Saccharomyces cerevisiae S288C: one gene and its partners. The gene in region 1 interacts genetically with each later gene. Each region holds a gene or a part of one and is shown on either strand. Other genes may lie near its edges.

Region 1 (8,415 bases):
TCTCTTAATTGAGCGTATAATTCAGCGCTTATATACTTTTCAAGCGTAGGACCATCATTTGACATAAATCCACCTGTAGAAATACCCTTCCGCCTTCTTGTTTTCATCACGAAATCACGACTTAAACTGTTGATAGGTGCGGGTTTCAATTTTGGAATAAACGCATCTTTATCCAAAACATCACCAGGAACCTTCCTCCATATCTTGTGCCAAAAGTACAGCTGACACATACCAAGACCATTCGTAGATAATCTCAAATCTGTCTCGAATCCTGCAGATTCAATAACCGGAACTTGTCCACGAACCTCCAACAATGGTGTCCCTGCCACTTTTATTGTTTTGTATATCCTGCTTCCACGTCTCTTCTTCATAAGTTCCTCTACTATTGGCAGCAAGGGGGCGTGGACCGTGATGTCAACTTCATAGATGGGTTCCAATAAAATTGGGATTGCTGTCAGTAAGCCAACGTAACAGGCTTTTTTCATTAGCGGAATAATTTGACTTTTCATAACGTCAATGTTTACGTCGGAAGGTACTGAGATCGATAACAATTTATACTGTACACCATAAATTGGTTCTTCTGCCAAAGGCCCCTCTTTTACAGCCCAGTAAAATCCTTGTATTATTTGTTCCTTATATTTGGATAATAATTCAGGACTGATTTCATCTGGCAAAGTGTCATTAATCAACACGTTGCCATTATAAAAAGACCAAACGTTTCTTGATGCCAACGAATCCCACCCATACTCGGTTCTCAATATTTTGGATAGTTTCCTTGGGTTGTCCATTATTCCGTCAATATCCAAGCAGTTTTGACCCTTTCCCAATGTGTTCCTGCTCAAATCCTGAATCATTTTAGAGTCCATTGGTTCAGCGGCTACACTAATCGACAGACCTGGTAAATTTTCCTCACCAAGGCGAGATATCGAATTACTTACAGGTATTGAAGCGAACGATTCATTTGAGCAACTTTCAGAAAAAACAGTTAAAGGATCAGATATTTTAATTTCTATCTTTGCATAACTCGCTCTTAGATCATACAACAAACAGTCCATATACAGCTCTCCATTTCCTAGTATTACATGTTCTCCAGATTCCTCAACTTTAATAATAACGCCTGGGTAGTATTTCGAAATTTTGTTCAGGGCATCCAATAACTTGGGTAATTCCCTTGGCAGTAAAGGTTGAAGAACAATTTTGAAAACTGCCTCGGTAATATAATCTAAAGGTTTGAAAAATTTTAGCTGTTTCATGTCCTCCTTACTCTTTACAGAGTACAACGTCGCGGATTTAATATATGCACTTGAAATACCTTTTATTAATACTATCTGTCCTTTGTGTGCTTCATGAACCGGATAGACATATCTGCCACCTAATAAGCCAATTTCTTCGACCTCACATGAAGGCGTTTCGTCATCTTCATCTTCATCTTCGTTGGAGGTTTCCGTCTTTGAGATATCATGCAACTGTCTTTTTTGGCGAGATTCAGATTGTGATGTATCAAGTATACGTACTGTATCCCCTCTCTTCAAAAGTCCAGAGTATATCCGTACAAGGGACCACTCTGCTCCACCGTAATCCACAGTTTTCAGTACATGAGCCCAAAGAGTGCCTTCTGGTGTAGATTTTCCTGGAATTGAAAGATGAGCTGTCTTATTGTCGAATAATTCAAATGGTTGATAACATCTGGTTATCGCATCTACAAGACCGGTTTGTTGCCTAAATATTAACTGTAGAACGTGTTTTAAAAAAGGTTGCGGATCGTACTGGAGGGCCTCTTGACTTAAATTAACTCTAAAGTTAGACCTTAACAAATTCTTTAATTTATCTTTCTCCATAGATAAAGCGTAGGAAAATATTTTATAAAGCGGGATGAGGATAAATTCAACGAAAGTCGGGTACTTCTCTACATTTTCAAATGGTTTTGTCCTGAAATTACCTTTATGGTAATATACGCTACCCCATAGCCTTGTGGTAAAGTCGTCTATCTTAGAAGAAGGTATGGAGTGGGCGTAATAATAAGAAACAAATTCCTTGATAGTGAATGTGAAGCCCAGCTTTGTAGACGCAAATATTATGTTATTGTCTATTGGTGAAAACACGTTTCCCTTCGTAAAGGAATTGATATTTGCAATTATATGATTTAACTTCAAGTATGCGTCCATTGGTGGCAACTTTAAATCTAGAATCAATCTGTCGAGTTTATTTATAACAAAACACATTGCTACATTATTTTTAATACTTTGTTTTATCAATTGCTCTACCACAAATGTAACACCTTCTACAACATCTATCACGATTAAAACCAAATCACTTGCTGCAAGTGCGACTGCCGTTTCATCCATAAAATTAACATGCCCTGGTGCATCCAAAAAGTTTATCATTCTAGACTTGGATTCTAAATCGGTGCAGAGTAGAGTGGAACCATTAAGTTTAATGGAAAGACCCCGGTCAATCTCTTGTTTCAAATTATCCAGGTATCTTAGCGGTTTCCATCCAAGTTCTACATTCTTAGACATATCTGGTATGCGTTTGTGTGAGTCGATTACTAGGAGATCCATCAAAGAGGTCTTACCTGAGTGAAGAGGTCCAATGACACCAACATTTATTATCCTCTCCGGAATGTTAGCCATTGATAACATATAGTCTCGATTATATCTAGTCTTCGGAATGTTTTTTTTTAATTGTGTAAAAATTGTATGCTCTTGCAACTTTGTTCGTTCTGTAACCGGCTCTACCAGTGGAGTCTGTGGTGACTGTGTGTTCTTAGTTTCCATTAATACTTCCACTTCCTTACCATAAGGGTGCTCTAAGGAAATTCCAAGTTCCTTTTTACTTCCTAACGAGGTAAGTTGTCTGCTCTCAATCTCATTGTTGTTGCCGCTCCCCTCAAACGTATTGGTTTGATATTGTTCTTGCTCATCCAGCACACTTTCTTCTTCATCCGAGTCAAAAGGATCAACTCCGATCAAATTTCCAAACTCATCGAATAAATCGTCACCTTCCATTTTGCTATGTTAGGAGCTATTGTGTATCGCTTCTGTAAAAGCAGCTAGCAATCGTCAGCCGTTGGCAAGTAATGCCCCAAAGCCTTGTTTTCTGCCACTTTGAAATTTTTCAGGCCTTTCCGGCATTAAAATTTCCGCAATGAGGCTTTAACAATCATTAATCATCCCATAAGGATAAGCCAAAAGAACAGATCATCAATTTGACGAAGAACATACCAGTCCGTGTATTTGTTTGCCATTGTACAATAAAATAAATAAAAATAAGTCAAATAAATGAAAAATGCCAGAGTATACGCTACTGGCTGATAATATAAGGGAGAATATCGTTCATTTCGATCCGAATGGTTTGTTTGATAACTTGCACACCATTGTTCATGAAGATGACAGTCAAGAGAACGAGGAGGCCGAGCATTTCAATTATGATCAGGTGTTGGATAAATCGTTATTGTCAAGAGGTTCTATTGTCGGTCTCGGTTTAGGACTAATGAGTCCCGTTTTAGGAATGTGCACTAGTATGGCCATTGGGCTAATTAATGGTGGTCCGTTAACTATAATGCTAGGTTTTTTAATCAGTGGAGTGTGTATATGGTTTTCGTCGCTTTCTCTTGGTGAGATTGTTTCAAAATTTCCGATGGAACTGCATGTTGGGAGTGCCATGTTGGCCCCGGAGAAATTGAAATTAGTATGTTCGTGGTACACTGGCTGGTTAATGCTCATAGGGAATTGGACTATGAGTACCAGTATTACTTTTGCAGGCGCTCAACTTACCATTTCTTTGATTCTGATGACGAACTCCAACCTAATATCCGAGGCACACTTGATTTTTTACACAGTCATTGTATTTTACTTAGTTGTGACTGTTGTAGGCCTCGTGAATTTGAAATTTGCAAGATTTATTGAAACAATAAACAAAGTCTGTGTTTATTGGATCATATATGCCATTATATTTATTGATATTCTTCTACTAGTATTCCACAAAGGTAAATTTCGATCTTTGAAGTACGCGCTATTTCACTTTGATAATAATCTATCAGGGTATAAAAGCGCATTTCTTTCCTTCATCATTGGATTCCAACAGTCTAATTTCACGTTACAAGGTTTCAGTATGTTACCTGCTTTAGCTGACGAAGTCAAAGTTCCTGAGAAGGATATTCCACGTGGTATGTCGAATGCGGTATTGTTATCCGCGTTCTCTGGAGTCATTTTTCTTATACCAATAATGTTAATCCTGCCAGATAATGATTTGCTTTTTACCAATCATAAGGTTCTACCAATAGTGAACATTTTTACAAAATCGACTGATTCGGTGGTCTTGTCTTTTTTTTTAGTGCTCCTAATTTTAGGAAACTTACTGTTTTCCGGAATTGGCTCGATTACTACATCTTCTCGTGCGGTATATAGTTTTAGTCGTGACCAGGCTATACCATACTACGATAAATGGACCTACGTCGAACCGGATTCTCAGTCAAAAGTCCCCAAGAATTCTGTTGTATTGAGTATGATAATATCATACTTTTTAGGTCTGCTAGCTTTGATTTCAACGGCCGCATTTAATGCTTTTATAGGCGCTGCAGTGCTCTGTCTTTGTTCTGCGACTTTCATTCCGTTAGTCTTGGTGCTGTTTACGAGAAGAAGAGCTATCCGAAGCGCGCCAGTAAAAATCAGGTATAAGTTTGGTTGGTTCATCAACATTGTTTCTATTGTGTGGCTCTTGTTATCTATGGTTTCTGTTTGCCTACCAACGCAAGTGCCTGTAACTTTCAAAACAATGAATTATGCTTTAATGGTGTACGTATTCTGCATTTTAGTTATCACTGGTCTTTATTTCAAATGGGGGAAGTATAATTTTAGATTACCCTTGGCAGATGACATCAAGGCTCCAATTCCCAGTGATGCGGAAGAAACTGTTTTTGAACTAGAGGATAGCAATGTTGAACATACTCTAAACTCGGGAACCACAGTGAAAGAGTCTGTAGAAAATAATTCTGAAGAAGGTTTCATCAAGGTGCATCCTAAAAGTAGTACAGAAAATCCCTTTGAGGAAAATGAGGAAAACGTGATAACCGATTATGGTGATGAGCACCATACAGCAGAACAAGAATTTGATCTTGCCGATGATCGTAGATATGATATATGATATATGATCGTGATTATACACCGTTATTTAATGGGAAAAGACTTATATAGAAAGAATATACGTAGTTTTAATTTATCAAGTGAAAAGGGCACTCGCTAGAATTAGCAAAACGCCAGTGCAGCACCATTTCAAGCAAGTTGTGCCTGAGCTATGGGACTGTTTCATTTCTTCATCACCTTCTCCTTGATGATGATGATGTCCATCGCTAAATCCGATACCAGTTTGGAACATTTGTAAACCAATTACTAATAGGAACCCTGCAGTAACGCTCAGTAAAAAATCCATGTTGGGTTCGTGATCCCTTGGAGTACTACCTTTAAAGATGAAATAACCTATCAATGCACCTAATGGTTGAGATCCACCACCGAGAACGGCAGTAATCAAAATGGCAACCCATTTAGATTCGAAAACAGTGTAGAATGGTAACGTCATTGCAAATCCTTCGACAAAATTATGGATCGTCAAACTTAAAAAAATGGAAAATCCCAAGGACTTTGACGAATCTGACCTGTTAGTGTAAAAAATAATAAACCCTTCGGGAAATTTGTGTAATGCAAGGACTAGACAAGTTTGCATACCAATAGACAGTAATTTGGAAAAAGGGGTCTCTAAGTGATGATGGTGGGGGTATAATGAACCATTTTCGGGATGGTATTGTGTGTCTGCCAATGCGGCCGGATTCTCAGTTACATCATTTCCCAAAGGTGACGAAAAAGAGTGCGACAACTGGTTGGAACCATAATTTTCGGGCGATTCAGAGGAATGATGATGGCGGCTCGAAAGAAAATTCTTACGGTACAACGATAGGTTTTCAAGATCGTAACCGATATTATTTTCCACGCATACAAGGCCACGATGATCCTTGTCATCGGATTGTCCATTATCTTCTGATCCCTCGCATCCATGTGGCACGTTTCTTTCACTTTGAGAAGACTTTATCACTGGTGGGACACATGCAATATATTCTGGCTGCTCTGATTGCAAGAGCGGAGTGCACTTGTTTAGGTCACAACACTCGCCTTCTGATTTCCTTCTGGTTAATAAGTCAATTAGGGACATTTTCTTTTTCATTTGGGGTCTATCGCTATCCTTTGTAATCAACGGGTCATTTTCAGAAACACTGGAAGAAGATGTTGCATAACCATGCTCAGAGGGAGCATTTTCTAAATCATGATCGTTGCTAAAATTCGAATGCGAATCCGCATGTGAGTGTGAGTGCGAATGCGAATGTGATTTGGAGTGTATATGTGAACCTGTAGCATGGTCACCGCTATCAGCACAGTGTACCAACGATTCGCTGGCGAAAGCGTGGACTAGGTAGTTTAAGAAAAAACTGAGGCAAATACCCAAAAGCAATCCAGGAAAAACCTTGAACCGGTTTGATTTTTCGATCCGAGGCAATAGCATGTATAGTGAAGTAGTGATCATAGATCCGGCACTTAGAGAAAGACCATAGTTGACCAACTTAGATTGGCTATTGCGCTTGCTATCGAAGGCAACCGATAACAACGGCACACACAGGGCCCCAAGTATGCACAGCACCGACGATATAAGAGAAAACAACAACCACCTGGGAATTTTTTCCATTTTCTTGCGTTTCTTCACTGTGATGCTTGTGAGAATATTAGGATATACCAACGTGCAACTCTGAAATGTCAAAACGGTCGTGTATAAATAAATGATATACCAGTAGGTGAAATCATCTCATTTGTCTTTCTAAAAAAGTCCATTACCCTTAAGGTTGTTGTCACAACCCACGGAGCAGTTTTAGAGGTGCAAAATTGAAAGAATGGCCACATTTTGAGCAATTCATCGACAACAAGAGCTTATGATTAACTTGGGTTGTGGGCAATTGGGTGTACTATGAAGCAGCCAATACCTGTTTTACAACAGTATTCTCAGTTTCAGCTTAGAGATGTGTCAAATCGAAGGCTAGTGTGGTGCACGGAGTTTATGGCACATTGGTAAGTAATCATTGCAACTTTTTTTTATTTGAGGAATATAGTAAGAGAGAAGCTTTAGTGATGGTCAAAGAAGAGAGGAATACAAGTGAGTTGTATCTAGGATTTTTTATTACGTGAGTGTTGTTTTACTTTAGTCGGTAGGAATCATTGTTATTTTTGTCTGTTTGTTTGTCTCTATTTTTGGGTACACGTGCGTGTTTCTTCTAGTGGATGGTTTGAACGAAGCAGGTTCTCAGGATTGATTGATTGATCTGCTTTAGTGTGTAACGTTCTGCGACTAGCTTTCGTTGCTACCGATATATAAAGAAAAAAAGGAGAGCGTGTGTTTGGAGCGTCTTAAACCCCATTGGTGAGAGCCTCCAGTACCATTTGCCTGTTAAAACTGTCTTGTGTGTGGCCTTGTAGAGAAGGTGAAGAGGGAGAGTTTATATGTTGGGTAATTTACTGAGAAATAAGACGAGTTCGTCTGGTTTTGAGAAGAGCTCAGAGCATTCCGATTTTTCCTCCGTAGTTCCCAATGTCCCTGTATACTGCAAAGCGGCAAGCACAGGAACTACTAAGACCGCTGCTGGAGCTCTTTTAGATACTGCAGTCAATGTGGAAAAGCCTTCGGAAATGCTATCAACGACTTCTCCGCCCATTTTAGATCATATATCGGATGACTTAAAACTGAAGCTTTTCGGCTCGAGGGATATTCCTTATAGTCGTCCTATCGATACGTTACAAAACAACGGAGGTCTTGGTACTGATAAAATCACGTCTATTAACGAAAAAACGTATGCATTCAGGATTTTGATCATTGAGGAAGCGGGTCAAATGGCGTGTAGGAACAACTACCGTGATATCTTCGATTACACTACGTCAAAGATTTCAAATTCGATGGAGCAGATACGGCCGAGTGAATTGAAGGAATATATATTTGGTTCTCCCGTAAGATCTTCCGATTTGACGCAGTGCGACAAGATAAGGACGATTCCTAACTCGGATTTGGTACTCATAACTAGAATTTTCTATTACACACACCAATACAACCGCATCGCAATTAGCTTATGCATACCGAGGATATTGTTGCCCGTAGTTGCAGAGTCGTGGTCTTCCATTTCATCATGGTTGACCCAGACTCAAAAAATGCTCATTGGTTTCTTGACTAAAAACCGTATTATGCAAGAAAATACTGGCAATTACAGCAATAATTCAGTCATAAAATTGTCAAATATTGACATCAGGACGCATTATCCCAAGGAAATTGAAATAATGGTGCAAACTTTACAAAAAAGAGTCATACCAGGTTTACGTTCTATGTCTG
Region 2 (7,711 bases), on another chromosome or scaffold:
GGGGTCTTGTTGTTTTGCGTATGCAATGCCAACAACCTTCAGGAACACCATGGGTCTCATCCATAATCTAGAAATGAACACCTTTCCACACTTTACCGAAAGACAAGATCGTGTTTGGAAAGAAACAAAGAGATTAAGTACCGCGTCTGTGCAATACTACTATGATGCCAAAAAATGGTTGAACAAAGATGTAGAAAAAACAGGGAATGCAATCAAAAATTGGACTGGCGTTAACGTGAAGTGAACTCTGTTTAGCACCTGGCGCTTATTCATCTTATAAATACATACACAATCTTTACTTACTATCTAAATATTCCACATAGGATTTCACAAGGATTTCACGAGGATTTCTAACACAGTATAACAACAAAAGATTAGCAATGGTCTCATGTTTTAAAAATTTTTCTTATTTCGTAATATAACTTCTCAAACTGTGAAATCGAACAAGTGAAATTATCAAATGAATCAGTAATAAAATTGAAGTTTCCGAGGCTTAACGCCTAAACTTGCACGGTTGACATCTTTGGACCAAATGGTTCATAGTGAATCATATCATCACGATGCTCTAGTTCTTTTAGATGACCAATCATAGCTTGCATAAAAGCTAAAGAGCCGCAAGTGTAGACATCGGCATGCGCAGGTGACTTTTCCTTCAAGAATGCAGCATTAATCAGTGGTTCAGTATCAGTATGAACAATTATTTTGTCGACATTCGCACATTCAGCTAATAGTTCATCTACATGTTTTTTGAATGCTTGAGTCTTTTCATCATAGGAAGATTGAATCCAGTAAATTGGCCTATTTGGGTTGCATTTGACTTGTTCTTCTAACATAGCTAAAAGTGGTGTAACACCAACACCAGACGATAGTAACACCAATGGAACTTCGTTTTGGTGTATCAACTCTTTATTTATTGCGAAATCACCAGCCGGAGCACTAAGCTTAATTTCATCACCAACTTTAGCGTCCTTGTGTAAATATTCAGAGACTAATCCTGCAGGAAAATTTTCTCTGGCAGCTTCCATCTTTACTGCAAATCGTAAACCATTTTTAGTTGAAGCAGAACAAAGAGAGTAGTGTCTTAAAGCGTCGTATTGGTTTTCCTGTCTAATTGGGTGAGTGTTTACCGTAATATACTGACCTGGAGTGATTGGCAAGCTTTCCAATTCAATACCAGAACCGAACTTTGGCTTAACAGTAAATTCAACAATATCTGAAGCAACGTACTCTTTGGCAGTAATGTCAAATGGTTTCCAACCTGGCCATAAAGCTTCTTCGTACATTTTTTTTTCAACAGTGATGAAGATGTCAGCAATTGCTTGGTAAGCCTCGCCCCATGCATTAATTATCTCTGGAGTCGCAGCATCGCCTAAAACTTCCTTGATTGCTTTTAACAAGTACTCACCAACGATTGGATAATGCTCAGGTTTAATTTGCAAGGCACGATGCTTGTGGCCAATTTGCTTGACATGGTCCATAAGCACAGACAAATCGTCAATGTTCTTAGCCGCTGCCAAAACAGTAGTGGCCAAGGCATTTGGTTGTGCGCCAACCTTTTGATTAGTTCTGTTAAAAATATTAAGTAATTCGGTGTGTTCAGTAAGCATATTTTTGTAGAATGTACGCGTGATGACAGTGCCCTGCTGTTCCAAAACAGGAACGGTTGCTTTGATTATGGAACGGGTTTTTTCGGCTAGCATAATGAATAAAGTCTTTGTGTGGTTTGTTGAAAATGGTAAAAAATGAACAAGAATATACTGTATAAGAAAAATCAAGTCTCCACCTCAACCCACAATATTGTTATATATATATATATATATATATTTCCGTGTGTGTACAACATATTTCATCAGTAGTCTTGTACTTGACCACACACGGAACTGAAATGAAACTTTAACGGCAACAATTCAATAATAGTTGCTCTTAGATCTCCGTACAAGGAATGGTTAATTTCCGTATTTTCAGGTGGCATCAATACCATAATGTGTGAGTGCCAGCAAAAGATAGTTTTACAGGCGGTTCCTGCATTGCTTTCTGAGAGGGATGATCTGAAAACTATCCGTCGAAGACGCATAAGCGCGTCCGCTATTTTAGTAACGATTAGTAATCGAGCATTTAAAATTGACATTATTGGATAAAAAGAATACGTTATATCGGCCGGAGGATCCAACTTTAGTAGAAATAGAAAGATTTGCCGCGCAGACTATCATTTTCAGTTTAAATCCTCCACAGTATCAGAGTAGGCATCAAGGATGCCTTCCTTTGCTGGTACTCTGGGAAAATGTACCAGTTGGCAACGCAGGCGAACCAATAAACGAAGATTTCGGTCATTTGTTTTGCCGTCTGACCTTCTCAATTAGATTATGTCTTGGCAATTATACGAAGCTTGTGATTTTAAAAATGAGCCATGAGCTTGTTCGGAGAAGAGTCGCCTAAGGTACAGTGTGCACAGTTTTGCTTTTCAACGATGAATGCTTGAGCGTGGCGAAGAAAACCTTGCGGGCTTTTCGAAAATGTAAGGAATAAAAATGAAGTTTCCTGATTTATAAGCAAGCAATCACTGAACGAGAATATCTTGTAGTTAAGTGACTATCAAACGAGCATGAGGGTTACAAAGAACTTCCGTTTCAAAAATGAATATAATCGTACGTTTACCTTGTGGCAGCACTAGCTAACGCTACGTGAATGAACGTACCGTGCCCTATTATTCTTGCTTGTGCTATCTCAAGAATTGCATTTTGTAATAACAACTGCATGGGAAAAATTATATAGATTTTCTACTATTATGTCCGCCTAAGTCAGTTAACCATCTTTATCACAAAATATACAATTAACCAACTACTTAATCAATTCGGTTATATTGCTTAGTATATACGTCTTTGGCACGCGATTGAAACGCGCTAATTGCATCAGCCTATCTTTCTATGCAAGAATGCAAGAAAAATTGATGTGATGTGCCTTATCACAATTCATTACCTCCTATTTCCTCTGCAGCAACAAGTTTCCTTGATTATAAAGGTCTTTAGCGTGAGAGGTACAGGTGTTATGGCACGTGCGAATAAGGGCAGAAATTAATCAAATTTATCAACTATTTGGCGATGGCTCGAGACAGGTATAGAACCACTACTAGGTGATATTGAGGCTTTTGTACAATTTATAGCAAGTTTTTGAGAGTCCCTTCAAGTTTGTTACATAATCTTCTTTGTGCAACGTACAAGAGCAAAGTAGAAAAATTTGGTTTTTATTTTTTTAAGCAACATCAGCTGCACTAGTTGAGCTTTTGACAAGACATACTGCTCAAAAAATCTTCATAACATTATTTTTCGGTTCCACAGTGATTGAGCTTTTTGAGAGAATAACCCTTTGGAGGCAACATAGATAGATAAACGTGCAATGAAATTCGGCAAGTATTTGGAAGCCAGGCAGTTGGAACTGGCGGAGTACAACAGCCATTTTATTGATTATAAGGCTCTAAAGAAACTTATCAAACAATTGGCCATTCCCACGCTAAAGGCTAGTTCAGATTTAGATTTGCATTTAACATTAGATGACATCGACGAAAAAATTATACATCAGAGACTGCAAGAAAATAAAGCTGCCTTTTTTTTTAAACTAGAGAGGGAGCTGGAAAAAGTAAATGGTTATTATTTGGCGAGAGAGTCCGATTTAAGAATAAAATTCAATATATTACACTCAAAATATAAAGATTATAAGATAAATGGTAAGCTAAACTCAAACCAAGCTACCTCATTTAAAAACTTATATGCGGCTTTCAAAAAGTTTCAAAAGGATCTTAGAAATTTGGAGCAGTATGTTGAGTTAAATAAAACGGGATTTTCAAAAGCTCTGAAGAAATGGGACAAGAGATCTCAATCTCACGATAAAGATTTTTACCTTGCTACTGTTGTTTCCATTCAACCAATTTTTACCAGAGATGGGCCACTAAAATTAAACGATGAAACTTTACATATTCTCTTAGAGCTGAATGATATTGACAACAACAATAGAAGGGCAGACATACAATCCAGTACGTTTACTAATGACGATGATGACGACAATAATACCAGCAACAATAATAAACACAATAATAATAATAACAATAATAATAACAACAACAACAACAACAATAATAATAACATATTACACAATAATTATGAATTAACAACATCAAAGATTTCGGAAAACCAACTTGAACATCTTTTTCAAGCATCTTCCTCCTCCTTGGACATGGAGATGGAAATCGAAAACTGGTATAAGGAAATTTTGAATATAGCCACGGTGAAAGATGTTCAAAGAAAGCATGCACTACTAAGAAACTTCAGAGAAACCAAGATATTCACATATCTGCTACAAAATTCCTCAGAATCTTTTCATAAAAATGTCTTTTCTTTGTTGAAGGAGTGCTTAACGACGCTGTTTTTATTACTGGTGGCTAGTCCTTTGGACGATAACTCTCTGCATATTTTCTATAAAAGCAATCAGGATCATATTGATCTGTCATATTGTGACGAAGATGATCAAGTATTTTCACGAAAAAACGTATTTCACGAGGCTGCAAGTTGTCCAGAAAAATCACGCTTATTTATTCTAGATGAGGCTTTAACAACATCAAAGTTATCTAAAGAAACAGTACAAAAACTACTGAATGCCCAAGATATACATTCGCGGGTGCCGCTACATTATGCTGCAGAGCTAGGAAAACTGGAATTTGTTCACTCGTTGCTAATCACCAATCTTTTAGAGGACGTTGATCCCATTGATAGTGATTCTAAGACACCCTTGGTTTTGGCTATCACTAACAACCACATAGATGTTGTTAGGGATCTGCTGACTATTGGTGGTGCGAACGCATCACCCATTGAAAAGCCAATTCTGGATTATAGTAAGAATGTAATCAGCTCTACTAAAGTCCAGTTCGATCCTTTAAATGTTGCTTGTAAATTTAATAATCATGACGCCGCCAAGTTACTTTTAGAAATTCGGAGTAAGCAAAATGCTGATAATGCCAAGAACAAAAGTTCACAACACTTGTGTCAACCGCTTTTCAAAAAGAACTCAACAGGTTTATGCACTCTTCATATAGTGGCAAAAATTGGCGGCGATCCACAATTAATTCAACTATTGATACGTTATGGGGCGGATCCCAACGAAATTGATGGGTTTAATAAATGGACGCCCATTTTTTACGCTGTTCGTTCAGGTCATTCTGAAGTTATTACTGAACTATTGAAACATAATGCACGTCTGGATATTGAAGATGACAACGGCCATTCGCCACTTTTTTACGCCTTATGGGAGAGCCACGTTGATGTTTTGAATGCACTTTTACAAAGACCATTAAATTTGCCATCTGCACCCCTGAATGAAATAAATTCGCAGTCTAGTACGCAACGCCTTAATACAATAGATTTAACCCCAAATGATGACAAATTTGATTTAGACATTCAAGATAGCATTCCGGATTTTGCTTTACCACCGCCAATCATTCCACTAAGGAAATATGGTCATAATTTTTTGGAGAAAAAAATTTTCATCAAATTAAAGTTGAGGCCAGGTCTCGAGTCTATCAAGTTGACTCAGGATAACGGCATTATTATGTCATCATCACCAGGCAGAATTACTTTATCCTCAAACTTACCTGAAATAATACCGCGAAATGTTATTTTACCTGTTAGATCTGGCGAAATTAATAACTTTTGTAAGGATATCAGTGAAACAAATGATGAAGAAGATGATGATGAAATTAGTGAAGATCATGATGATGGAGAGATAATTTTCCAAGTAGATTCAATCGACGATTTTTCAATGGATTTCGAGATATTTCCTTCATTTGGCACAAGGATAATTGCCAAAACAACGGCAATGCCATTCCTTTTCAAGAAGGTGGCAATAAATAGTATTGCAACCATGAATTTACCCTTATTCGACACAAGACTAAATAATATTGGATCTCTCACTTTGGATTACCAAATTATTTTTCCTTATCCGGGAAATCCACTGAAAATCATAAATTATGAGCCGTATTGGAAATCTACAGGAAGTGATTTAATGACCTCTAGTAAAGACGGTAATTTTGTTACTTCTTCATCGTTGAATGGCAGTTTTATTAGTGTATTAGTTTGCGCTCTGAATGATGAAACCATAGTGGCTGCGCCAAAACCATACGTTGAATTCAAAGGCACGAAGATTCTGTTAAATGATTTAACGAAAGAACAATTGGAAAAGGTAGTGGATTATGACTTCGGTAAAATTGATGGAAGCTTCGATGAAGTAACATTGAAACAATACTTATCTTCGAGAGTGGTGCCTCTCAGAAGCCTACTAGAAGTTATTCCCGGGTCAGCCCAGCTGGTAATTCGTGTATATTTTCCTACAGATAAGGAAATTGACACAATTCCCATCAAAATATCGCCATTTATAAATATCAATCAATTCATTGATAAGCTTTTACTAATCATTTTCGAGCATGAACGTTTTTTGCGTCACAGCGGAAGTGGGAGTATGCGCCAAATAGTTTTCAGTTCATGCAATTGGGAAGCTTGCTCGATCCTTAACTGGAAACAACCCAATTTTCCGGTTTTGTTGCAAATGAAAAATCTACTCAGAGATTCAACCACAGGCAAATTTGTAGGTGATACTCCTAATTGTTTAAAGGAACTGGCCGTAAATCCTCAAAAAATGTCGTATTTAAACACGGAACTAATAAACATACATACAATGGTTCAATTTGCTATGAACAATAATTTGTTAGGTGTAACGCTTCCATATGAAGTACTGAAGATATGCCCGTCGTTGGCTAGGATCATCAAACAAAACGGACTACTGTTGATTGCATCGGTCGGGGAAAATGACCAAATACCAGCTGATGGAGGTTACAGCGGGATCTACTACGCTTGTGAGTTGCTTTTTGAGAATAATATTGATATGTAAAGTTCTGTAATATGTAGTTTTGAAATCTTATACATTATTTAGGAAAAACTTTTTAACCTGTTCATTAAGGGCAACATCTTCTGCCTTAGCGCCTTTATTATCTACAAGATCATATTCTGCACCATACTTTTCCACCAACAATACAGCTGCGTCACCGTGCCCTTCAGCCAAAGCATGAAATAGTGGGGTCCAACCCTGCTTATCCTGCCAATTTACAGCGCTTTTGCCCAAACCGCATAATAGTTCAATTAATTTCAAAGAACCCACCGACGCAGCTCTATGCAATGGAATTTGATTAAATTTATCTTTAATTCTTACGGACGCACCATTTTCAATTAAAAATTGGGATACTTCAAACCATTTCTTACCAACTGCCAAGTGCAAGCATGTAACTCCTTGATTGGTTATCTTATTTAGATCAGGCTTTAGAGGTCTGTCGTAAAGAGACTTTACCACCTCCAAATTCCCCACTGAACAAGCAATATGGAAAGGTGTCCATCCAGAATCATCTGGATAATCATCTAAGTTAACATTTTCCATTTTAGAAAGCAAAAAACTGGTAATTTCATGTGCTTGGAAAGAAACTGACCAGTGTAAAGGGATTCTGCCATCCTGGTCCTTCTGTAGCAACAAGGAAGGTTTGGAGTGTAGCAGCTCTTGTACCTTGAAAAACTCATTTTCCATGCAGGCTTGATGCAAAGGATAATTAGACATGGTTATACAGTTTTAAGGGCATGCATTTATGTAGCATTTATTATCACAGCTTCAGCTGATCGTTCTT
Region 3 (8,122 bases), on another chromosome or scaffold:
GAAGAGTTCCGCTTTCAGATCATTTATTTTGATGTTGAATTGATTTTCTCTTATGCTGTTGCTATTTTTTACATTATTGGAACTCTCCTCGGTGCTTCTGAGACCATTTTCGAAATTTTCACTGCAGACGCCATTTTTGAACTTCAATTCATCTAACTCGTCGATTAACTTTTTATTCAAACTCTTGTACTTCTCTAGCTCTCTTTGTGAAACCATTAGTGCCTTACTTGCACTGTCCATAGAACTGATACTTTCTTTGTAATCATTCTGTATTTTTTTGATTTCATTCTCTTTTACTAATACATCTTGACTTAATGAGCTGTGTTCCATCTTTAAAGCATGGTATTCAGAAGATAGTTTTTCTTTAGATATTGTTAGCTCTTGACTTCTCTCCAGCAAATCGTCCAATCTATTCGTTAGTTTGTTAATCACTACACGGTGGTGACGACTTTGATCACCATAGGGTTCACCGACAGTTTTCTCGCCATTTTCATCCGATACAGATATCAAAGAAGAAGAAGATTCAAGAAACGAAGAGTTGGCTCTGTTTTCTTTCCAATGACTGATCAATGAGCCTAACTGTGACGAGTAATTCGCAACATTATTGATTATATCTTCGTTATGTTGTTTGCTTTCATTTTTCAACCTTTCATTTTCTCTACTCAAATTCTCATGTTCTATCTGTAGTTCTTCAAGTTTTTCTTTGTAATTAGGCTCTAGTTCTAAGGATTTAATTTTTTCGTTCTGAAATTGTATAACTTCATTTAGATTCTCTATGTCTAAGAATTTGCTATTCACCAACTCTTCTAGCTCATTAACTTTATCTTCCAAGGAATGATTATCTGCCTCTAGTATTTCACATTTTGATTGCAGTCTGACGGAATCCAATTCATCTATTTCTTTCGTTGTCCCAGAATTCTTCTGGGATTTTAACTGCCATAGCTCCGTCTCTAATTCCTTTATGTGAGCTCCGGCTTCAAGCGCCTTTTCGTGCGTCAATTCTTTCAAACTTTGCAATTCCGATCTTAATTTCTCAAATAGTGCCCTATCTACGACTTCGGTAGTAGCATCTCTATTTATAGGAACGCTAGCTTCTTCATTTTTCGTATCAGTTGGAACGTCTCCCATTGGGGACACGTTTTTTTCATCACTTGCATCAATAACATGGTTAGCACTATCATGGCCCGCGGTGTCGCTTTTCTTTATTGTAATATCCACAGGCTCGGACAGTTTGTCGATCTCCGTATTATTCTGTGATAATTCTGAAGATTCATTATAATGCTTTATTTTGAACTGATCTTTGGATGGGGAGCTCGCCATTTGAGCCACACCGATTTCGTCGTCTTCGTCAGCAACATTGCCGTCCTCTTCAACCTTGGACATCGAAGATGTGCCTAGTTTGTCCCCGTTTATCTCTTGGTCGAAGGTCGTCGTGGAATCTATTTTTTCATCAGCGTCAGGAAGATGTTTTATTTCCTCTATATTACCATTTTGGGGCGTTTTTATCTCATTACTTGGAAGCGTCTCTAATATTGGGGAGTTATTCTTTATTTGGTTTGCAGGGGTGAGATTATCTCCATAGATTGAAGATGGGATGCGCTGATTTCCAACTGTTGGATCCATAGTTTCAGAAAGATCAGGTTCTTTCTGGATAGTAGGCGTATCAAATGGTTTGTTGGAAGTTATTTTCATAACCGGCGTTTGTGAGCTTTCAGATGGAACATATGGAGTCAAAATGTTAGGCTCAGCAATCAAGTGAGATTCAGAATTTACTGGGTGGCTCTGATTTTGGTGTTCTGTTGACACATTTCGATTGTGTACCTCCCTGTTGAGGCGATCAGCATCTGAAAAATCTTTTGGTGCAGGTGATGGAGCGGAAGCTAGAGGAGCTGCTGAAATTGGTACGTTCATATTTTTAGTTTGATGAGAGGTTGGGGTAACGGGCGTCGCCAGGTCAAGATTACCATTTCTCGGAGTTGGCGTATCAGTTGGAACATCCATTACGCCTGGACAAAGGTCCTTTATGCGGGCCAAGTCTAGCGTATAAACAATTGTACCTCTTTGCATATCAATATCAGAGGTATGCAAGTCGTACTCCTCGACTCTAGCGTAATCAAATTTATCTCCTCCCATAATCAAAATTTTATCATTTTTTAATAATGTTAAAGAATGCCCAGAACGGCCTTGCGGAATTCCAGCCGTAAATACAGGTAATTTAAACCATTTACGCGATTTCAAGTTTAGGAAATACACGGAGTTCAAATAAGCATCATGCTCATCTTTCCCGCCTACAACACACATCAGATCGTTGTAGACTACAGTAGCATGTTCTTGAACTGGAGGAGGCTTTTCACCCGTGGTATCAATGATAAACCAATCATTTATTGCAGGGTCGTACATAAACACATCATTTACTAAACCTTGTAAGGTATCGCCACCAAATACCCATAGTTTAGAATCGTATGATATCATAGTAAAATTGGTAATAGGTGGTGGTGTAAAGGTCCTTGGTTTCAAAAATTCCCAATGAGAGTCCGGTCTTCTAAAAGAAGATAAGTCGTAAACAGCCAAGTCGTTGAAGTAGGTGTCATCAAATTGACCACCAAACACGTACAGTTTTGTTTTCATTTGAGTTGTGGCGATAATCGAAATTTTATGACCGTACCTTCCCAATGGACGTGGTCCCACGGGTGCCGGGACTGTCCATTTATAGGAATTAATATTCAAAAGGTATATGTCATCGTCCATCAAACCTTCCTTATTGACTTTGTGTGTGTCACCGCCAAATACAACAAAGGCATTCCCGCATAATACAGCAGCGTGGCCTACCCTTGGTGGTGGTGTAGCTTCACTTATGTCTATCGTTGTAGTGGAAAATCTGGTGGCATTATCGAAGGCCGTTAATATCCATGTATCGCCGTACACAGATTGGTCATGAAGTCCCCCAATAACATATATCTGGTTCTTGTCTGTAACATATGCTGAAGCAACATGTCTATAACGTGGAAAAGGAGAATTCTGTAACTTGATTCTATTCCATACGGTATATTCTCTCTGTTTTGAAAGCTGCTTATGGAGAGTAGTGGACGGTCCTGAGACATTTCGCTGTTGCGGTGGTACTGCGCTCGGTTGAATCCTTGATTCGGATACCTGTTTTCTGGCAAACATAGGTGGTGAACTAGTTTTATTAACATTAGAATGGTAACCTTGTGAAAATTGACGCCCTTTCTGAGGCGTTTCTTGTTTTGTGAAAAATTTTTCATTTGGAGGAGTTGACAGTGAAGCTTCTCTAGATTGGTCAGAGATAGAAGCATCAGAAGGCGTCTTTCCATGTTTCTTGTGAGTGAATTTCTTGGCGAAGCTGAATCCAGCCATGTTTGAGTTATTTTCTAGGTGCAAATTGAAGCAAACGGGCTCTAACTTTTCCTGAAAAATTACTGTGAATTTGTTAATAAGTGTAAGTATCACAAATCAAGCAAAACAATTACTTTATAGAACGAGCCCTGTTGCTTTTCTATATCTTATTGTTTCGTATTTTAAAGGAATGCTTGCTTGTAGTTTACTATCAACAACCGCGTCGCCAAGTCCCCAGAAGACGTGCCGCGTGATTCCAAAGGTGATGAAGGGTACAAGTTGTAAAGTTCAATATAATAGGTAAGGAAAAAGGCCAATACTAACTGTGCTTTTCTCAATTACCACTACATGGATCCGAGGATAATTAAATCTATCTCCTAGGGCACTGATATGAATAAATTTGACGAGTTTATAGAGTCTAATGAGAAGGATTTGGATGTGGACACCAGTACCCGAAATAGTATAATTTCGATGTCACCTGTGAGGAAAACTGGACGAAAGATTCGTTCTGCTAGTTCCAATGGATATAGGCTAGAACACCATCGTACGTCCAGTGCGGGAAGCATGCATTCGCAAAGACTAATGACGCCTACCAGATTAAATGACCAGGACCATCCCTTACAAGCCAAGCCAGATGCTAGGAGGGTGGTAACTCGTCATTCTTCTGTCTCAGTTCCAAATGCAATGAGCAAGAGAAGATCACTTATTCAACCCATGGTTGTTCCCACTACACCAGAATCTCAAAACAACTTACCTTCAGTAAGTCATTCTGAGGGATCCTATGGAATCCCATTAGAGTCAACCACTGTACTTTCTAGTGAGCAAGCGATGGCCAGCGGACTTCGACGGTCTAGAAATGGGAGTTCGCAGTCGGTTAATAGTATGATAGCGACCACCATACCAACAAATGGGGTCGATGTAAGTGCGCTTCTACAATCTCTCGCTACAAAAGAGTTAGAACTTCTGGAATGCAAACAAAAGATTGAAGATTTGAAAAAGCAAACCCAGCATGAAGAGCAAAACTATACTCGTCGGGCACGTGAACTGCATGAACTCAAGGAGCAAGTGAGTAAACATTTGGATCCCTCTCTAAATACACCTGTTAAAAACCGGGCTTTTTCACCGGTTTACCAGAATATACCTTTGGAATCACGAACTGAAAATGCTGGTAACAGCAGCCTTCCTAGTTCTGTCAGTAAACCAAAGAACATGGGTCATCAAAGTACTAATCAGTCAAGATCTGTGTCTCCGCAAGATATTCAAGAAAGGCGCCAAAGGGACGACTCGTCAGATTCATCCAAACAGTCACTTTGGAGCAAACCATTAGCTCTGTTTAATCAGTTTGATAAAATCATTCAGCATGAAATTGAAAGAACTCTGAATTGGGATGACTCTCTTTCAGGTACGCCTGAGGTACAGGAAGGGACACCGACTAGTAATAGCGAGTCGTCCGCGCAACAGTACGATAATGAAGCACCTGGAGCTCGCCAAAAATCTCCTTCGCAAGGATCAGTCTCCAGGTCGCTTTGGAGCTTTGTTAGCGATGTCAAGGCCGGATTACTCGGTATAGAAGAAGAAAACGATAATGATGTTATTACTGATAACAGATGTGATCCTGTATATAAAAGCGATAGACAGCATGAACAGAAAAAAAGTACACATAAAATTACGAACCGGGGGCAAGCAGAAGATAGTGGCGACGATTCTAGTTTAAACATGAGGAAATTTAAAACGACAACTAAGTTCCAGAAAGACAATGCTGGGAATAATAGTCTCACAGATGAAAGTGGACATCGAACACGAGAAAAAAAAAGTAAAAGAAGTAGTAACAAGCTAAGTTTTATTGGAGAACCCGATAATGATAATTCCTCCGTCAAAAACTCAGTTGAAATGACAGACTTCTAATTCCTTTTTCAAAATGACGTTTATTCTTCACTTGTCACTCTTTTTACGTATAGCTGTGAACGCAGTATGTAATTTAATACTGTTTTCTCTTGAAAGTGGTTAAAAAGTGTTATATATCTGAAATTCATGGTTTAAATTAAAGAAATTTCAAGGCCCGTTAAGCAATTCTGTCTTCAACATCATGGAACTCAAGACCAGCCCAGTTTCCTGAATTCTGAAAACAAAAACCTACGTGTTTTTGAAGGTTTCTTTCTGTACCGTTATCCTTCTTTAAAACTATAGAACCATCACTAATGCTGCCCATCAGCCCCATAAACTTTGAACTGTTTAGTCTTTCTTTTACATCTTTATTGGCACTATTATTATCGCAAAACTCAATTATATCGGAAGCCAAACCTTTCATGGCAGTTTCTTCATCTTCCAGACTCGTACCTGAATTTTCCTCTTCTGTATGGACATCTTCTTCCAAACTACTGGCTTCCAGTTCCGAAAATTCAGCATTAATTAAAGAATCAATGTGGCTGTTGATAGGATGTTCTAAACCTGTTGTCTTGAATATCTGATGGTCAACCACAGGGAAGGAAGCAATGTTAAAGTTTTTCTGTGAATAAAAGCCTAAGGGAAAATCTGTCTGAGATGTCCGTAGCCCGTTGTTTATATTAAGATTCGCGATTTGATTTTCGATGGGCGGTTCAACATTCTTAGGGAAGTTATATCTAAAATCCTTGGCCCAAGAAGTTTCATTGTCATTTAGATTTGGCGCTTCAAATTTGTAACTTTGATCCTCTAAGGTTCTAGGACGAATATTTACGTAGGACCGTGATTGATTCAAATCTTCTGAGTGTTGTAGAAATTTCAGCTCAATTTTATCCTTCAGAATCGGTGGTGAATTCAGTCTGCTCCCGATTTTGTTAAAAGAGAGCGTATTGTCCCTGCCCGTAAAAGGCCCCTTTTCTGTACTACTAATAAATTTATTCACCTCATTCGTTTGGCATCGGTTACTATTCATTGTTTGTATTTTATATCATTTGTCCATTGAAGTTTAGACAAGTATCAAATACCCAGTTTTCGTCTTTTCCCTTATATAGGTCGTCTCGGAAATAACAATATAAACTCCATGGTGCGGCGCTATCGAAATCTTTTGTTGGCGGGAGGAATTGAAGACAGTAAGATGTAAGTATTACATACTATAGGACAAATGCAAAATATGTACAAAATGGCAAAAATTACATAGCTCTTCCTTACAACTATATATAGCTATCCAAAGATGCACTTGAGTACTCCCTTACATACCTGATTATACTAGATATTACATATCAATTAAATTGAGGTTGTTAGCATATTGGTTTCCTAAAACTGGTTGCTGTGTTTGAGACTGTTCCGGTTGTGGTTGCTGTTGTGGATAGAAAGGGAAATTTTGAGGTTGAACTGTCCCAGTTATATTTGTAACAGGGTTGGCTCCTGCAGTTGCAGGCACATAATAACCCTGTTGTGGTTGCTGTTGTTGCTGTTGCTGTTGTTGCTGTTGCTGTTGTTGCTGTTGTTGGAGATGATTCTGAGTGTAGTGAGCCTGAAATTCCATTTTATCAAAACGCTGAGGAATATTCATCGATCCCTGCATGCTAGTAGGGGTTGTCATAACGCTATTGATCGAGCTCAAAGGCATTTTTTGTTGTTGAAATTGTTGTTGATTGTACGTTTGGTTTTGAAAAGGGTTACTTATTATCTGTTGTTGTAGCGGCATATTGGTATTTTGTTCATCAAAGTTTGGTCGTGAAAATGGGTTATTTAAGACATTTTCGTGTGCAGGATTCCCTGTTGCGATCGTCGCGGCGTTGTGCAATGCGAACGGGTTGTTAGAACCAGTTTGTGAATGAGAGACTTGTTGATTAGAAGCGGCAGTTGTATCCTGTGAAACGGAGTATCCTCCAAACCCTGCACCTGTAAATGTGGGTGTTAAATGGTTGTTAATCGAATAGTACCCCGTTTGTTGGGCACTTACGCCAGCATCTTGTACAGGGTTGAAGTTCACTGTGTGTTGGACCGCTGCATATTCAGGAACGTTTAAATTTGCGGGCTCTGTATGAGCGGTTGGTGTATTCATCACCTGTGGCTGAGTTTGAGATACAAATGGGTTATTTGCGATCTGTTGCGTTTGATTAGCCACAGCCATTGGAATGTTAGTATGCATAGAAGAGTCTGTTCCAAACGGGTTGTAAGATTGAGCCGCCGTGACAGTAGTTAGAGCAGGGGAAATCGCTACTTGTTCGTTTTTCAATTGTGCCTCTAGTATCCTTTTTTGTTCCCGGATTTGCTCCAACCTTTCCTGTGCAGTAGATTTGGCTACTACGGCCCCAGCACTTCCTTGAGAACTGTCAACGGGCACAAAAGTGTTGTGCGTCTTATCATCCTCTATCAGATGTTCTTCTAGCGATCTGACCAGTTTGGTAGTGATATGCTTGATGACGGGTATTTTCAAGCCCGCAGTCTTCCCGCTCTTCAAGTACCTGACAACGTGCTCGGTCAAATCAACAAACGTCTTGTACAGGTCTAGAGTTCTCTCTGCATTATGATGAGATAGTTCGAAAAAAGACTCCAGCAGAGTTATGATACCTTCGTTGAGAGCATTATATAGCGCTAGCAGGTCTTGAATAAGCAGCTTGAAACCAAATATGATCAATTCGTTACTCAAATCATATTGTGTATACTTGTTTTTAATCAGGGCTTGTATTTGTACCTCTAGGGACTCCACATGATCTAGTGCTATATTGATAGAGTGTTGCTTGTTTCTGGAGCTTCCGTAATTGCCACTGTTCAGCTTCAGTGTTCGATAGCCGTCTCTCACATAGTCCTTTTTGATTTT
Region 4 (7,984 bases), on another chromosome or scaffold:
CACATAATTTTTGTGGGGAAGACGTTGTTGTAGCAGTCTCCTTATACTCTCCAACAGGTGTTTAAAGACTTCTTCAGGCCTCATAGTCTACATCTGGAGACAACATTAGATAGAAGTTTCCACAGAGGCAGCTTTCAATATACTTTCGGCTGTGTACATTTCATCCTGAGTGAGCGCATATTGCATAAGTACTCAGTATATAAAGAGACACAATATACTCCATACTTGTTGTGAGTGGTTTTAGCGTATTCAGTATAACAATAAGAATTACATCCAAGACTATTAATTAACTATGAAGGGATTATCCTCATTAATAAACAGAAAAAAAGACAGGAACGACTCACACTTAGATGAGATCGAGAATGGCGTGAACGCTACCGAATTCAACTCGATAGAGATGGAGGAGCAAGGTAAGAAAAGTGATTTTGATCTTTCCCATCTTGAGTACGGTCCAGGTTCACTAATACCAAACGATAATAATGAAGAAGTCCCCGACCTTCTCGATGAAGCTATGCAGGACGCCAAAGAGGCAGATGAAAGTGAGAGGGGAATGCCACTCATGACAGCTTTGAAGACATATCCAAAAGCTGCTGCTTGGTCACTATTAGTTTCCACAACATTGATTCAAGAGGGTTATGACACAGCCATTCTAGGAGCTTTCTATGCCCTGCCTGTTTTTCAAAAAAAATATGGTTCTTTGAATAGCAATACAGGAGATTATGAAATTTCAGTTTCCTGGCAAATCGGTCTATGTCTATGCTACATGGCAGGTGAGATTGTCGGTTTGCAAATGACTGGGCCTTCTGTAGATTACATGGGCAACCGTTACACTCTGATCATGGCGTTGTTCTTTTTAGCGGCTTTCATTTTCATTCTGTATTTTTGCAAGAGTTTGGGTATGATTGCCGTGGGACAGGCATTGTGTGGTATGCCATGGGGTTGTTTCCAATGTTTGACCGTTTCTTATGCTTCTGAAATTTGTCCTTTGGCCCTAAGATACTATTTGACGACTTATTCTAATTTATGTTGGGCGTTCGGTCAACTTTTCGCTGCTGGTATTATGAAAAATTCCCAGAACAAATATGCCAACTCAGAACTAGGATATAAGCTACCTTTTGCTTTGCAGTGGATCTGGCCCCTTCCTTTGGCGGTAGGTATTTTTTTTGCACCAGAGTCTCCATGGTGGCTGGTTAAAAAAGGAAGGATTGATCAAGCGAGGAGATCACTTGAAAGAACATTAAGTGGTAAAGGACCCGAGAAAGAATTACTAGTGAGTATGGAACTCGATAAAATCAAAACTACTATAGAAAAGGAGCAGAAAATGTCTGATGAAGGAACTTACTGGGATTGTGTGAAAGATGGTATTAACAGGAGAAGAACGAGAATAGCTTGTTTATGTTGGATCGGTCAATGCTCCTGTGGTGCATCATTAATTGGTTATTCAACTTACTTTTATGAAAAAGCTGGTGTTAGCACTGATACGGCTTTTACTTTCAGTATTATCCAATATTGTCTTGGTATTGCTGCAACGTTTATATCCTGGTGGGCTTCAAAATATTGTGGCAGATTTGACCTTTATGCTTTTGGGCTGGCTTTTCAGGCTATTATGTTCTTCATTATCGGTGGTTTAGGATGTTCAGACACTCATGGCGCTAAAATGGGTAGTGGTGCTCTTCTAATGGTTGTCGCGTTCTTTTACAACCTCGGTATTGCACCTGTTGTTTTTTGCTTAGTGTCTGAAATACCGTCTTCAAGGCTAAGAACCAAAACAATTATTTTGGCTCGTAATGCTTACAATGTGATCCAAGTTGTAGTTACAGTTTTGATCATGTACCAATTGAACTCAGAGAAATGGAATTGGGGTGCTAAATCAGGCTTTTTCTGGGGAGGATTTTGTCTGGCCACTTTAGCTTGGGCTGTTGTCGATTTACCAGAAACCGCTGGCAGGACTTTTATTGAGATAAATGAATTGTTTAGACTTGGTGTTCCAGCAAGAAAGTTCAAGTCGACTAAAGTCGACCCTTTTGCAGCTGCCAAAGCAGCAGCTGCAGAAATTAATGTTAAAGATCCGAAGGAAGATTTGGAAACTTCTGTGGTAGATGAAGGGCGAAACACCTCATCTGTTGTGAACAAATGATTTTTTTAGCCAGTAGGTAGATACGGCGTTATTTAATTTTATTTTATATAACTAGTACTTAACACATCGAGTTTATTTTTACTCGACATTATGACTTTTTTTTGGTTTTGTTGCGGCTTTGAAGTTTTTTCAACTAGAGGTTATTATTTTGTTCTGAAAAAACGTTAATGATTTAAATGAATCATTGTGATGAGGGTCCTAGATTTAAATATCTTGCAAAAAGAAGTACTAATATACAATTTTTTCATTCCCGTTAATGAAAATGCTTGAATTTTTATATTGTATATTGATACACTCTATTCATGTTCCGGCAACAATTATTTTTTTTTTAATTCTGTAAATTTACTTTTTGACGTATTCTTTCAGCATTTCTGTGCTTATGTTAGAATTCAAGAGAGTATTCCCTATTCCTGGTAACGTAAATTCGCTTTGTAAATCAACGATACATGATTCTCATATCCCAACAAAAATGCCACAAAATTTATATTAGTAAGCTGCCCGCTTAAGTATATACTTAATGTAACTGTATATAGAATTATCATGACCATCAGAACTAAATATTACAAACAAGTAAGGCAGGAGTAGAATAATCTCGCCTGAAGAACATAGCTTCTTACACCCTCGAAAAGCAAGACTTAAGAATATCACTCACACTCTATCAGTATATCTATCTCGTATAAGTGAACGGCGTGAACAATAAATTAAGGAATTATGTCGTCTTCATCTTTGGAATCATCATTTAGGCGCAGTGGTCTAGAGATAGGCAAATCGATTAGAGCACTCTGACATTTAGTTGAAAACCTTTGAAACATTTTATGATTGCAATGTTTCAGGGAGAAAACGAACTTGGATACATCGCACAAAATATTCCAAGCCTCCAACTTCATATTGTGATCATACTTATTTACGATATCTACCAATGCATTGGCTACTTCCAATGATTTCATTGGTATTCCAGGACCATGTACATCATACAGGTTGTTTGGAGTTAAGAATATGTCGTCCAGCATATCCTTTGCAATTTCGACCAATATGTGAGCATTATTGGCGTTTGAGAAAAACTTGGTACCATTCATCTGAAACACTAGCTTCCAAGCCAGCGCCCTAATCCAATGTCGAGAAAATGAAATGTCCACATAGCCATAAGACCATGGTTCTATTTCAAGGGATGCTGTGTGAAGCTCTTTCCATATTTTTTTCAGTGAGTCTTCAGTGCAAGAACCGCTAGTAGACTCCGTAGCCAAAGCATCAAAAAAGCATTTACCTGGTACAGTAAATACTCTAATCATCTCAAAAAAGCTATCCAAAGAAAGTCGAGGGTCCGTTACGAACTCTGGCTGAGGTGGAGCTATTGTGGTATCCAAACTTGTAACACAATGAACATATACGGAATAGTATCTTTCCGTCAAGAGAAGCAAATAATACACCTTGCGTAAAAGCTGTTGCTCACGAAATGATAGTGATTCGTATGCTTTTTCACGATGTAACCCTGCTACAATAACAAGGCCAATAGCTTCACGACAAAGTCTGTATGAATTTCTTACATCAGAAGACTGTGAAAAACAACGTAGCAAGCAATAATATGTCATAATTCGGAAAATGTCTCTGCCGCTAAGGTCATCAAATTGTTGGCGTGAGGACATACAGAGAACGGCTAATTGTTTTCCAGTAAACGAAAATCCCCCCTCAGATTCTAATTCGCTTTGTAGATCGCTAAGATTGGCTGCTGAAAGAGCTACGAGAAACCAATAAACGTAATGGTCATTGTATTCTTCGTCCAAAAGCTTGTGAAGGTCATCATAAGAGAGTAAAGGCCAGATAACATATAGATTGTCGTGATAAAGCCTCAAACACTGATCAATCACCTTTTTAGGAACCTTCATTAATATTTCTGCCGCTGCCGTACAACTTTTATTATCTATAAACATTTTGGCCTTTGGTATATACTTTAAGCTTCTAGTTCCAATAGGCTTTGAGCCTCTTTTTTTTAATGGTTGCTGATATGTGCAATCGAAATTGTGCTCAATACAGCGACTACATGGTTTTTTACCATCACACTTTACTCGACGGACACGACAATAGTCGCATGCATACTTGACTAAAGTCATATTTAGAACATAAATATCTTCAAGATGCTCTCGTTCGATGTTTGATATTCAATATTTACACTCTAGTGTTTTCCCGAGAAAGAAACCTTCTGAAATGATTTTTTGTTCCTTTTTAATCTATTGAAAAATGGCGGTACGGACAATAAAATCCGGGGGCGGGGTAAATTGCGCATGGCCGTGGAATGTCACTGCAAAGTGAACGAGAAGATTAGAACACGGAATAAGGAAAACTTCTGGGGAATTTATTTTTCAAGATTTGGTTCCAGGTTTTTCCCCAGAAATGAAAGTGCTAGATGATTGGTTTTCAAGGAAGTTCTCAAAAGCTGTACACGGAAACAATCACGGCACCATTTCCTTGTCAACTCTGTCTTATATCAGAGTCCATAAACTAGTAAAATGACTTCGTAGAATCGAACAATATCTCACCATAAAATTTTTTTCACAAACAAAAAAGACGCTCTATTATACAAAAAGCTGCTGCGGCCCTTCTTAATGACTAAATCTTGACAACTGAGCTCTTTCACACCTGTGCAAAATCCAATGGGAGCAATAAATGTAACATATTTTTTTAACATACCACGGTAGGGCAATGAATATAAATAGATATTGGACCGTATCCTTTTCTGATCATCTTGAAAACATTGTCTTGCCTCTCAACAGCTTTATCTATTCTTCACCTCTCTTCGTTTGACTATTTCAGCATGTATTTTTTCACACAATTTTTCTTCCAACTATTTTCCAATATTACTACGAGAATTCCGACCACGGAAAAAAACTTGCGCTGTTCCAATCAGTCCCATTCTATCCATCTACCTGCCAGTGGTTTCGTAATATCGACTCACACCAGTAACGACATAACTGTTTTTTCGTTCATGATTTAATAGCGAGCCCACCTTTAACGCATATCTGCTTCACCGCTGAAATAATATTTTACGAGCACGCTAACACAATGCTTGTGTTTTCTGTTGAAATCACAATACCGTTACTTGGAGTGACCATTTATGGTTTGTTGAATTCACAGTACTCTCGTCAGCTTTGTCACGTATTCAACTGTAACCTCTTTGAATCTCAACACTACGTTGTCTTCGCGTGTACTAAATGTATCGATTATATAATAGTATTTAAAAATCATTTAAAATTGCACCATGTACTGTATAATGATTTTCTCAAGACGATATTTCGAGTTTTGCCGATGGGTCTTATAATCTCTTTTGATAGAGATACCTACTTTTAACAATATCAAAATTACTGATATAGGTTAATTTTTGTTCACGAGTAAGTACTTCAGTGACACTCGTCAGTAAAGAACATTAGCGGAATCGTTATAATTTCATTCCTTACATCCGTTTAATTTCATTAATTCGATGCATCTTTCTTTGGCGAAGCCAGAAAATCTAGTTTCAGAAATCTCGGTTTCACCCGCAAAAAAGTTTAAATTTCACAGATCGCGCCACACCGATCACAAAACGGCTTCACCACAAGGGTGTGTGGCTGTGCGATAGACCTTTTTTTTCTTTTTCTGCTTTTTCGTCATCCCCACGTTGTGCCATTAATTTGTTAGTGGGCCCTTAAATGTCGAAATATTGCTAAAAATTGGCCCGAGTCATTGAAAGGCTTTAAGAATATACCGTACAAAGGAGTTTATGTAATCTTAATAAATTGCATATGACAATGCAGCACGTGGGAGACAAATAGTAATAATACTAATCTATCAATACTAGATGTCACAGCCACTTTGGATCCTTCTATTATGTAAATCATTAGATTAACTCAGTCAATAGCAGATTTTTTTTACAATGTCTACTGGGTGGACATCTCCAAACAATTCATGTCACTAAGCCCGGTTTTCGATATGAAGAAAATTATATATAAACCTGCTGAAGATGATCTTTACATTGAGGTTATTTTACATGAATTGTCATAGAATGAGTGACATAGATCAAAGGTGAGAATACTGGAGCGTATCTAATCGAATCAATATAAACAAAGATTAAGCAAAAATGGCTTTACATCAATTTGACTATATTTTTGCCATTGCCATGTTATTTGCATTTTTGGATGCCTTTAACATCGGGGCAAACGACGTGGCGAACTCATTCGCGTCGTCGATCTCTTCTAGATCTCTAAAATACTGGCAAGCCATGGTTTTGGCGGGTCTCTGTGAGTTCTTGGGTGCTGTCTTGGCAGGCGCAAGAGTTTCTGGTACTATCAAGAACAACATTATAGATTCCTCCATTTTTACCAACGACCCCGCTGTTTTAATGCTTACTATGACCAGTGCTTTGATTGGCTCGTCTTGTTGGTTAACATTTGCTACTGCAATCGGAATGCCAGTTTCTACTACACATTCCATTGTTGGTGGTACAATTGGCGCTGGGATTGCAGCCGGTGGAGCTAACGGTGTCGTTTGGGGTTGGAGTGGTGTTTCTCAAATTATTGCGTCATGGTTCATTGCTCCGATTTTGGCAGGCGCGATCGCAGCTATAGTTTTTTCAATTTCTAGGTTTTCTGTCCTTGAAGTTAAGTCTTTGGAAAGATCGATTAAGAATGCTTTACTGCTGGTTGGTGTTTTAGTATTCGCCACTTTCTCTATCTTAACAATGTTGATTGTCTGGAAGGGTTCTCCAAACCTACACTTGGACGATTTATCTGAAACTGAAACTGCCGTATCTATTGTTCTCACAGGTGCAATTGCTTCGATCGTTTACTTCATCTTTTTCTACCCATTCTACAGAAGAAAAGTTTTGGACCAAGATTGGACACTAAAGTTGATTGATATTTTCAGAGGTCCATCTTTTTACTTTAAGTCCACTGATGATATCCCACCAATGCCAGAAGGCCATCAATTAACAATCGATTATTACGAGGGCAGAAGAAATCTTGGAACAACTGTTTCTGTTGAAGACGAAGAAAATAAGGCAGCGAGTAATTCTAATGATTCCGTCAAAAACAAAGAAGACATCCAGGAAGTGGACCTGGTTAGAACTGAAACTGAACCAGAAACAAAGTTGTCAACGAAACAATATTGGTGGTCATTATTAAAGCAAGGACCTAAAAAATGGCCCTTATTGTTCTGGTTAGTAATCTCTCATGGTTGGACTCAAGACGTCATTCATGCTCAAGTTAATGATAGAGATATGTTATCTGGTGACCTGAAAGGAATGTACGAAAGATCTAAATTTTACGACAATAGAGTAGAATATATCTATTCGGTTCTCCAAGCCATTACTGCAGCCACTATGTCTTTTGCTCATGGAGCTAATGACGTTGCCAACGCTACTGGTCCTTTGTCTGCTGTGTATGTGATCTGGAAAACTAACACTATTGGGGCAAAGTCCGAAGTTCCCGTGTGGGTTCTGGCTTATGGTGGTGTTGCCTTAGTTATTGGTTGCTGGACTTATGGTTACAATATTATCAAAAATCTAGGTAATAAGATGATTTTGCAGTCGCCATCAAGAGGCTTTTCAATTGAACTAGCTGTTGCTATTACTACTGTCATGGCTACCCAATTAGGTATTCCTACCTCAACAACCCAGATCGCCGTTGGTGGTATTGTCGCTGTTGGTTTATGTAACAAGGATCTCAAATCAGTTAATTGGAGAATGGTAGCCTGGTGTTATTCTGGTTGGTTTTTAACTTTACCAATTGCTGGTTTGATTGCCGGTATCATAAATGGTATCATTTTGAATGCTCCTCGCTTTGGTGTGGAATACCAAATGACATAATCATAATGTGTTTC

The links.
Region 2: mutations in TPO5 (region 1) and YHB1 together harm fitness more than expected from each alone (negative genetic interaction), as found in Saccharomyces cerevisiae (one large-scale study listed by BioGRID).
Region 3: mutations in TPO5 (region 1) and TDA11 together harm fitness more than expected from each alone (negative genetic interaction), as found in Saccharomyces cerevisiae (one large-scale study listed by BioGRID).
Region 4: mutations in TPO5 (region 1) and MAL33 together harm fitness more than expected from each alone (negative genetic interaction), as found in Saccharomyces cerevisiae (one large-scale study listed by BioGRID).

The regions. Positions count from the first base shown.
Region 1 is NC_001143.9:117,110-125,524, reverse strand, and holds TPO5 (Tpo5p), read left to right. Parts: upstream 1-3,288; coding exon 3,289-5,145; downstream 5,146-8,415. Other genes in the region: U5 snRNP GTPase SNU114, read right to left, coding at 1-3,008; Zn(2+) transporter ZRT3, read right to left, coding at 5,221-6,732; LST4 (Lst4p), read left to right, coding at 7,539-8,415. UniProt on the Saccharomyces cerevisiae protein: Required for polyamine transport. Transports putrescine effectively and spermidine less effectively.
Region 2 is NC_001139.9:953,893-961,603, reverse strand, and holds YHB1 (flavohemoglobin), read right to left. Parts: upstream 1,701-7,711; coding exon 501-1,700; downstream 1-500. Other genes in the region: MIC26 (Mic26p), read left to right, coding at 1-244; PHO81 (Pho81p), read left to right, coding at 3,394-6,930; NAS6 (Nas6p), read right to left, coding at 6,958-7,644. UniProt on the Saccharomyces cerevisiae protein: Is involved in NO detoxification in an aerobic process, termed nitric oxide dioxygenase (NOD) reaction that utilizes O(2) and NAD(P)H to convert NO to nitrate, which protects the fungus from various noxious nitrogen compounds.
Region 3 is NC_001140.6:413,805-421,926, forward strand, and holds TDA11 (Tda11p), read left to right. Parts: upstream 1-3,744; coding exon 3,745-5,259; downstream 5,260-8,122. Other genes in the region: KEL1 (Kel1p), read right to left, coding at 1-3,375; PEX18 (Pex18p), read right to left, coding at 5,417-6,268; YAP1801 (Yap1801p), read right to left, coding at 6,569-8,122.
Region 4 is NC_001134.8:796,784-804,767, reverse strand, and holds MAL33 (transcription factor MAL33), read right to left. Parts: upstream 4,246-7,984; coding exon 2,839-4,245; downstream 1-2,838. Other genes in the region: MAL31 (maltose permease), read left to right, coding at 293-2,137; TYC1 (Tyc1p), read left to right, coding at 4,526-4,645; PHO89 (Pho89p), read left to right, coding at 6,246-7,970. UniProt on the Saccharomyces cerevisiae protein: Regulates the coordinate transcription of structural MAL3S (maltase) and MAL3T (maltose permease) genes.